2 linked regions of the Macaca fascicularis genome follow. The protein of the gene in region 1 binds, or shares a complex with, the protein of each later gene. Links are inferred from orthologs where the notes say so. Each region holds a gene or a part of one and is shown on either strand. Other genes may lie near its edges.

Region 1 (4,276 bases):
GTGACCAATGGCAGAGGGCTGGATGCCACAGGAATGACCACTGGGAGGAGATTTGAGATCATTTCAGCAATCACTATGGATACTCTAAAACAGATGCTCTTGGACCCAACTATTCCGCTCTAGACTTTTTTTTTTTTTTTTTGAGACGAAGTCTCGCTCTTGTTCCCCAGGCTGGAGTGCAATGGCACCATCTCAGCTCACTGCAACCTCTGCCCCCTGGGTTCAAGTGATTCTCCTGCCTCAGCCTCCTGAGTAGCTGGAAATACAGGCGCCTACCCACCACACCCAGCTAGTTTTAGTATTTTTAGTAGAGACGGGGTTTCACCATGTTGGCCAGGCTGGTCTCAAACTCCTGACCTCAGGTGATCCACCTGTCTCAGCCTCCCAAAGTGCTGGGATTACAGGCGTGAGCCATGGCGCCCAGCCTGATGTCTAACTACTTCTAAGCGAATCTTCTGGATCATAGTAAACATTTAATAAAAGTTGCTAAACTGCTTTCCCAATGAGTTCAGGAGCTCCAAAATGTTTCCTGTCCATCTATGAATTTCAGAGGCTAAGAGAAAGTGAGACAAAAAAAAAAAAATGCAGCTGGGCCTGTAATCCCAGCACTTTGGGAGGCCAAAGTGGGAGGACTGCTTGAGCCCAGGAAACGGGACCAGCCTGAGCAACAATAGAGACCCCATCTCTATTAAGACAAAAAAAAAAAAGAAAGAAAAAAAAACGCAGAATACATTGGGATCGTATGGAAAGGCACAGCAACCAGAGGCCCCAACCCAAACTCACCAGGATAGACCAGGAAGTCACCTCCGAACTTGCCAGCCGCACTGAGGAAGAACCCTCTCTCCCACAGATCTCTGTAAATGCTGTAGCGCAGCTCATGGGCAGGGCGGCCGGCGTGGGGCCAGTCTTTAGACTGGACACGCCAGTCCAGGGGCCTGGCCTTGACAGGTCGAGGCCTGGCAGTGGCCAGCTGGACAAGGAGAGCAGATCTGGGCAAGGGGGCTACCCCATTTGAGGGCTCTGCTTGGGAAGAGGAGGGACCTGGTGGGGAGTACAGAGAAGAGTTTGGTAAATCCAAGGGGCAAAGTCTTCTCACCCTCAGGGAGACCCAGGCACTGGATTCCCAGCTAAAATTTCCAAAAGATCTCTCCTCTCCTTCCCGTGGTTCGTGGACTCCACCTCCCATACTCACCGGCTTCCTCCTGCTCTCCCGAAGCCTGGCCATCACTGGTCTCGTTCTCTTTGGCAGCCTGGCTCGAGCCAGCCTCATGGCTCGAGCTGGCCCCTGAAGCCTGTTCTAGTTTCTGCTTCTTGGCAGCCTGGCCCTCCGTAATCTTCTCCAGGAGCTCCTGACGACGGGTCTCCCGGGCCTCAGCTGCCAAGGCGCTCTGCTCCTGGAAGCTCTCCTCTTGCTGGCGCTTGAAGGCTGTCAGGGCCTGAGAAGCACACGTCGCTGGAACCTCCAAGCTTACGGTCCCTTCGGAAGCCAGGAATCCTGACTCCCAGGCCCGGCTCCCACCGAACCCAGGGGTCCCGGCCCCGCCCCCTTATGATCCCACCAGGGATCCCGCCAAGGCGCTCTGCTCCTGGAAGCTCTCCTCTTGCTGGCGCTTGAAGGCTGTCAGGGCCTGAGAAGCACACGTCGCTGGAACCTCCAAGCTTACGGTCCCTTCGGAAACCAGGAATCCTGACTCCCAAGTCCCGCTCCCACCGAACCCAGACGTTCGAGCCCCGCCCCCTTACCAGGCTGTGGTGCTGAGGGTCTGGGCGCGGGGCGCTAACCAGAGTCACGGCGCCGATCTCGGCCAAGAGCCGCGCCTCTTCGGGCATCAGCAGCAGCGGGAGGCCCAGGCGCGAGTTCTGGCGGGGCCCGCGGGGCAGGGCGCCTACCGTGCGGCCCCCCACACCCAGGCGCTCCCGGAGGGCCTGCACCGCCTCGGCTCCCCACACCAGGGAGCGACCGTTCGCCACCTCCACCACTAGCATCCTCCTGCGGGAGCCGGGAAGCAAAGCAGTTACCGAAACGGCTGCGCGCCGCGGGCCACCGGAGCACAACCAAAGCCTCCGGGGTCTTGGCGAAGACCCGCCCCTAGTCCTCAGGGGGCGGGGCCTCGCTCAGCCGCCGTTCACCACCTGCTGGGCCGGAGCGCCAGGCCCCACCCCAGGGCGATCCCGCCAGGCCCCGCGGCCGCCGGAGACCGACCGGCAGCCCTCGCCCCTCGCCGCGTCCCCGGGGCCCTGCTCTACCCTTGTGACCCTGCAGTCGGCACCCGCTTTGTGCCCACACTGCCGTACCTACCATTGCGCCTTGGAGTCTCAAAAACAAACCTCCCCAAGCGCGGCGACACGCCCCCTTACAAAGGTCCATTTTGGCACCACCCTCTTGCAAAGTGGGCGTCCCCCTTCGGGTGCCCCCCTCAGGGGTCAGAAGCTCTCGAGGCTAAGGCACTGCCAAGGCCACACCCACTTCGGGACGCTCCGGCCTTGGCTCCTCCTCTTTCCGAACCACTGTGATTCGGCTTTCGGGTCTACAAGCGCTCAGACTCCAACAGTACAAAACCCTGCCCCCTTCAGAGCACAAGAATTGCGGCGGTCGGGCGTCCTTGGCGTCACCGAATCCGCAGCCCCGCCCCCTTCTCGAACGCGAGCAATTTGGCGTTCGGGTGTTCTCGGCTCGGCCGAATCCGTAGCCCCGCCTCCTGCCGGACGCCTGAGGTTCGGCGTTCGGGCGTCATCGGCTCCCGGCAGTCCCGCAGGCTGTGGCCCCGCCCCCTCCGAGCGCCAGCGCACCCCCGATGGGGAGTTCCCGCCCGACGACCGAACCCCATAGCCGAAAGCCCCGCCCCCTGGGCACCCGCCGTCCGCTCTCCCCTCGGGCGGGCTCACCCCACTTGGGAGCGCTCAGTCCGCCTCCTTGCTTCCCTTCAGAATGTCCCACGGTCCACCGACAGAACCAGCGAGTCACCTCATAAACACTAACTCGCAGTCGAGGCGGAGCCACCCACTACGCACCGCGCCACGCGCTCCTTCCTCCACCCGCTCTTGCCGACCCTCTCGTCAACTTCGTCATCCCGCCCCGTCAGCGCCGGGGGGAGTCAGGACCCGCCCCTCGCAGGCTCGAAGCCCCGCCCTCCTCCTGCGGTGACCACCTTGGCCCCGCCCCACCGAGCGCACCTCCCTCTGCCGCTTCCTCTCCTCAGCTTGGGAACTTGAGGCTCGTCACCCTGGCCCCGTGCCCTAGGCGCACGCCGGCCCTCGGGGTTCCGCCCCTTTGAGGGCAAGCCGCTTTCGCCCCGCCCCCTTGTAAATCCTTATCAGCATCTCGCGAACCTGTTGACTCCGCCTATCATCCTAGCGTCCCTTGTACCCAACTATCTACGAAGTAAACCGAAGCATATGGCCCCACCCACATCCGGCCGAGTCTGTGGTCCCGCCCACATCGGAACAGTGACACTAAGGACTCGACTATCTCCGAAGAAAGCCGAAACATGTGGCCCCGCCCACAGTAGCCCCAGCGCTCCGTTCTCGACTATCTCCGAAGTGAGCCGAAGTTTGTGGCCCCGCCTCCCGTGAACTCAAGCTCCCGATTGTGCCCGAAGGAACCCGAACGGAGACCGCGCCTCATCCCTCACGCCGAGCTCCAGACCCCGCCTCCTTTCCGGATCCCGTCTGTCTCCCTTCGGGTCCAAAGCTTTTGGCTCCTCCTTGTTCCGAGCCCGAAGCCCTGCCCCTTCACGTTCTCGGGGCTCGGAGCCCGGTGTGGACCTGGACTCGAGTCCCGTTGTCGACTCGCGCTCCAGTCGCCTGCTCTGGGGCTCCTTCCCTGCCCGCCCGGGACCCTGACCGTGGCCTCATCCCCGCCCCGATCCGCGCGGCCCAGCGGGCGCCCAGAAGGAGCAGGCGGCGCGGGGGCGCGCTGCGCGGGGGAGGCGTGGCCGGAGCCGCAGCGGCCCGCGGGCTGGGACTGCTCGGCCGCCTCCTGCCCGGCGAGCAGCTCAGGTGGGCCGGGGTGGCGGCGCCCAGTGGCAAGGCGAGGTTACACGGCTGCAGGGTCTCTGCAGGCTGGTGGGTGCGGGGCGGCCCCGGAGGCGCGTTAGAGCTCGGGGCTGGCGCAACCGCCTGTGGATCTGCCGGGGATTGGATCCGACCCACGCTGGGGTGCGCGGGACGGGTTGGGGCTGGGCCTGGGCCTGGGGAGGGAAGGGTGTCCGATCCCCGGGTTCTCCGTAGGAGAGGGGTCTGGAACTCCGAAGGAGGTGAGGCTGGAGGCCCGGGC
Region 2 (4,271 bases), on another chromosome or scaffold:
AAGATAAAAACTCCAAACTTCTACCTAATACTCAGCTGAGCAAATATCACTCATAACACTACCTCCTATCTTTGCTTTTCTAATAGCTTCTGTTACTCAATAATTCCCAATGTAAATAAATAAATTGCAAAATTAACAGCAAATGCATAAAAGATTGCTTATTATAATGTTAAGAATGCTATATCCCAATCCAACCCCCCAAATCCCTACCACAGTCCCAATAACAAAACAATATAAACAAACAACTTACTTTCCATGAGGTCCAGGTAAACCAAGAATGCTATATAAACTTGAGTGGCATCTCCTATATCTAATTCCATCATTTCTAAATACTGAAAATAAAATATAATTGTCAAATTGAGAAGGAAAAATTATTTAATATTTTCTTTCAATCAACAAGTAGTCATTAAGTATATATAATCTATAAAATTCTTCTAGGTATAGTGGAAGTTAAAATGCAATATAAGGTCTTAGAGATCGCTGTCTCTAAAGAACTTGCAACTGTTAAATACATGCACACTTAAAATTGTTAGGCAAATAACAATATATGACTGTAAGTGATTAAAAACCAGGTAAACGGAATAAAAAACATGACACAGCAGGTCAGAAGAGCTCTACTCAGAGGGACTGGTGAAAGATTTATAGCAGAGGTGGGATGGGATACAAGTTAAGCACTGAAGAACATTATGATTTAAGTAAATGGAGACGTAGAGTAATAGGGCAGGTAATCACACAAAGGTGGGATTAAGCCACACACATTCAAGGGCCTGTAAAGAAACCTATCTGCCAGCAATAGAGAAACCTTTTTAATAAAATTTGTGTCGGGACATGTTGGTGGGTACTGTGTATTTCCCTAGCCTCTTATTTGCATATGGAGAGAATCTGCTAGAGTATCAGTCCTAACCTCTCTACCCACTCTTTCTTACTTTAAGAGTAGGGAATTATTTCATCATTAGATTTTTTAAAAGGGATTGACAAGGAACTAGAGAAAGCTGCTTCTTTCAGACTACTGGTCAGCATAAGGGGAACACTTTCCAGGGGTCTACACCTGCAGGAGAATTCTGAGGCTGCCCAGCTATGCCAGTGACTAGGTGGATATGCAGGGCTAATGCTGAGTTGAATTATTAGCAGACCTGCATGGGGACAGGTCTAAAGTCACATTCTCCCATCAGCTTCCGTGTAACTGGACGATACAGTTACAGGAGGATAAGGGTTATTAGTTGTCTACTTCAAACATGTTTTGAAAATAACACCCAAAACAATTTTGAGCCAGGTTACAAGGCCTTGGTGGTCAAGCTATACGTGTGATTTTATCAGTATGGAAACACTGAGGATTTCTAAGCAGGAGAATAATAAAATAAAAGTGTGTTAGAGGATAATAAGTCTGATACCATTTTACTGGATGAACCTACATAATTTTCAAATTAAGAGAAAGGTGAAATTGGAAAAACAAACAGCCCCTATTGCTTTATTACTTCTTTTCTTTTTCTTCTAAAAATTAATCTGATCCTTCAAGAAGAGAAATCAAAAGGGGAGATTTGATGGTCAGGGTGCACACAGCCATTAACTTGAAAAAGAAAACAATCTACAAGTATATAAACCGAATAACAACACCAAATCTAGATAAGGTTTTAAAAAGTTGTTACTGGTGTTTCATTTATTAAGTACTTATATAGTGCTCTCTGTATGTTGAATGTCTTACAAATATTAATTAATTTAATCCTGTAACAAACCTATAAGTATGGACTATTAATATCCCCATTTTTCAGGTGAGGAAACTAAGGCATAATGAGATCAAGCAATTTGTGTCAAATTACAAGGTTGATACGTGACAGAATCAGGATTTAAACTGAGTCTGATTTTGAGTTCACGCTCCTAACCAATATGCTGCCTCTGCATGTTATTGTTTCCCTAAAAGGGCACTAAATAATATTTCCATGCTATTGTTTCTTTTTCTCACCTTTTGGGAGGATGAAGGGGACAGAGTAGGAAGATAAAATTAAGCAAGAGAAGCTGAAAAAGGTTAACTCTTCAAACTTACACCTTTAAATTTTTTCTTGGCTGCTTTTAGATGATTACGAATTATTGCTCTCTAGCAGAAGAGCGCAATTCTGTTAAAGTACCGTACAGACCAGTTTTTGAGATTCTTACAAAACCCACATCTCCATTCACTGCCTGTTCACTGCTTGGAACCTTACTGGTACAAGGCAGTAATGTCTCAAGCAGAAGCAAGCAGGGGACTATCTTTATCTCGCTTGCTGCTAATGTAGAAAAAGACACGCAAAATGTGAGTAGCTCTGCATTGAGCAAGAACCTATTCAAACTTTCGAAGAAATCTGAAATACTAAGAATCTGCACCTTTGCAAAATAAAGATGCACTCTGGGCCCAAGGCTAAGTGTAAACGTGACTGTGCCTAAATCTTTATCATTATGGACCCGCAGACCTTACCCATCGCCCACAAATTGTCTTGCATGGTTACTGTGAGGATTAAATAAATTTATCCCCCAAAGGGGATTTACCTAGACAGCAAAACCTGTGGAGCGCTTATTAGGGATCTCCGGCTTGAGGGGGGCGGAGTTACTGTCTGGCTCTCAGTTCCAGAATGGCTTTGGCTGGGGGGTTGGGAAAGTGTCGGGGGATAGTGCAACTTGTTTAAACAAACAAAACCGATGCTGCCTGAGGCTGGCAGTTGTGCACACCGGTCCCCCTCGGTAAGGGGGGCGCGCGTCCTCAGCTCTCCCGCTGAGGGAGAAAGAAAGACAGCTGCCTGGGAGTTCTGCCTGGGTTAGGGGCCTGGACGGCGCCCTGCTCCTCTCGCGCCTCCTGACCTTAGGGTGGGTGCCCATCCAGGCGTCCTCGGGGGCCCACGAGGGAGCTCCGCCGCCGTCGCCAAAGCCGCGAACGCCGCCCGGACCCAGGCCGCTGCAGCCGGGGATCGGCTCGGAATCGCCGCGCTCCTCCATGCCGGCCGGTGCGGCGCTCCCGTGGTGCACCACTACCCGCGCCCGGCCAGAAGCAGCGGCGCACGCGCCTGTGGGTTCCGCTTCCCCGAGGCTTGCAGCGGCCGCGCGAGAGGGCTCAGAAACTGGGAGGAAAGTTGCATCATCCCCTCCTTCTGACCAAGGTAGCTAGAACCTGCGCGAACGCTCTCTAGTTTCGCACTGCGTTTATTCAAATCTGAACAAATTCTAGCGTGAAAAATATTAAAGAGTAGCTTGTGCCCAGAAGCTCTTAATCCTCTTTAAGTCAGTGCTGCCGATGACTCTCTGAGAAAGTTGGGGGATACATACGTCCTCTTTGCCTTCAGCAGTGGGGTCCTGGTTTCTGATTGCTGGGAACGGGAAAAGCCTAACTCAGTGCCCTGACATAGAACTTTAAAGTAGAACCATAGTTTCAGGGTGGACCCACGTTTCAGGATTAGAGGAAACACGAGTTGCTGAATGAGTGTTCAGAAAGGTAGGATACAAACTAGCATAAGCATGTGATCTGGAAGCCAAGGATGAGTTTCAGACAGACAGAGTAGCACATTTTAAGTGTTTTTAAATTTACTGTGAGTGAAATGGGAAGCTATTGGAGGCTCCTGTCATATTTTCATAGGATCACTCAGACTGATATGTTAAGGATAGACTGGAGGGAGCAAGGACACAAACGGACTGGTTAGGAGGCGATCACATTGAACAGGACAAGGGTTACTCAAAATCCAAAGTCCCAGGCAGGACATAACTTCTGTTTTCAACCATGATAGACTAAAACCCTACTGGACCATCCTCCAGCAGAAAACAACTTGGACACAATGCAAAAAGCGGAATATACTAGAATGTGAACAGTGGACTCATAGGAAGGGCAAGCTTGCTTGAAGATGAGGAACTCCACTTCAACACAATACAAAAAGCTGAATATACTGGAATGTGAACAGCAGACTGGTAGGAAGGGCAAGCTTACTTGAAGATCAGGAACTCCACAAGAAAATTCCTTTCTCTTTGGCATTTAGCTTGTGGCAAAGTGCAGTCCAGAAGTCAGGCTCAGCAGTACCAAGTGTGCATGTATAAAACTTGTCAGTTATTCTTATCTGGGGAAGCAGAAAAGTGAAGACAGAAAATTTTGAATTCTGAAGAGATTAAGAAATCCCAAGGAAGGAGTCAGAGAGTGGATCCCCAAACTGTCAACCCACATCTCTGAGAGATCCTGAACCACCCAAAACAGAATCACAGCAGCTCAGTTAAAAACAAAAGATCTGAGCTGAGACCAGAGCTATCTCCAAAAGGGAGAG

The links.
Region 2: the proteins of TSEN34 (region 1) and TSEN15 are in contact, whole or in part, in a crystal structure (PDB 6Z9U), measured with the Homo sapiens proteins. The link is inferred for Macaca fascicularis from reciprocal best matches to the Homo sapiens genes TSEN34 and TSEN15. Residues at the interface, in NP_001070914.1 of Homo sapiens: Pro251, Leu252, Arg253, Phe254, His255, Ala256, His257, Tyr258, Pro265, Glu266, Asp267, Thr268, Ile269, Pro270, Leu271, Gln272, Leu274, Ser283, Val284, Arg285, Lys286, Thr287, Leu289, Leu290, Cys291, Ser292, Gln294, Val300, Tyr301, Thr302; in NP_443197.1 of Homo sapiens: Leu70, Lys74, Trp76, Thr108, Pro109, Ile110, Thr111, Ala112, Ser113, Leu114, Ser115, His116, Asn117, Ile119, Arg120, Leu123, Leu141, Ile143, Val151, Tyr152, Tyr153, Lys154, Leu155, Thr156, Asp157, Gly158, Phe159, Met160, Leu161, Pro162.

What each region holds. Positions count from the first base shown.
Region 1 is NC_088393.1:61,997,875-62,002,150, reverse strand, and holds the start of TSEN34 (tRNA-splicing endonuclease subunit Sen34), read right to left. Parts: upstream 3,085-4,276; 5' UTR 2,971-3,084; coding exon 2,966-2,970; exon of another isoform or gene 2,296-2,965; intron 1,991-2,295; coding exon 1,744-1,990; intron 1,437-1,743; coding exon 1,193-1,436; intron 1,042-1,192; coding exon 784-1,041; intron 1-783. UniProt on the Homo sapiens protein: Constitutes one of the two catalytic subunit of the tRNA-splicing endonuclease complex, a complex responsible for identification and cleavage of the splice sites in pre-tRNA. It cleaves pre-tRNA at the 5'- and 3'-splice sites to release the intron.
Region 2 is NC_088375.1:41,596,956-41,601,226, reverse strand, and holds the start of TSEN15 (tRNA-splicing endonuclease subunit Sen15), read right to left. Parts: upstream 2,999-4,271; 5' UTR 2,965-2,998; coding exon 2,830-2,964; intron 333-2,829; coding exon 251-332; intron 1-250. UniProt on the Homo sapiens protein: Non-catalytic subunit of the tRNA-splicing endonuclease complex, a complex responsible for identification and cleavage of the splice sites in pre-tRNA. It cleaves pre-tRNA at the 5' and 3' splice sites to release the intron.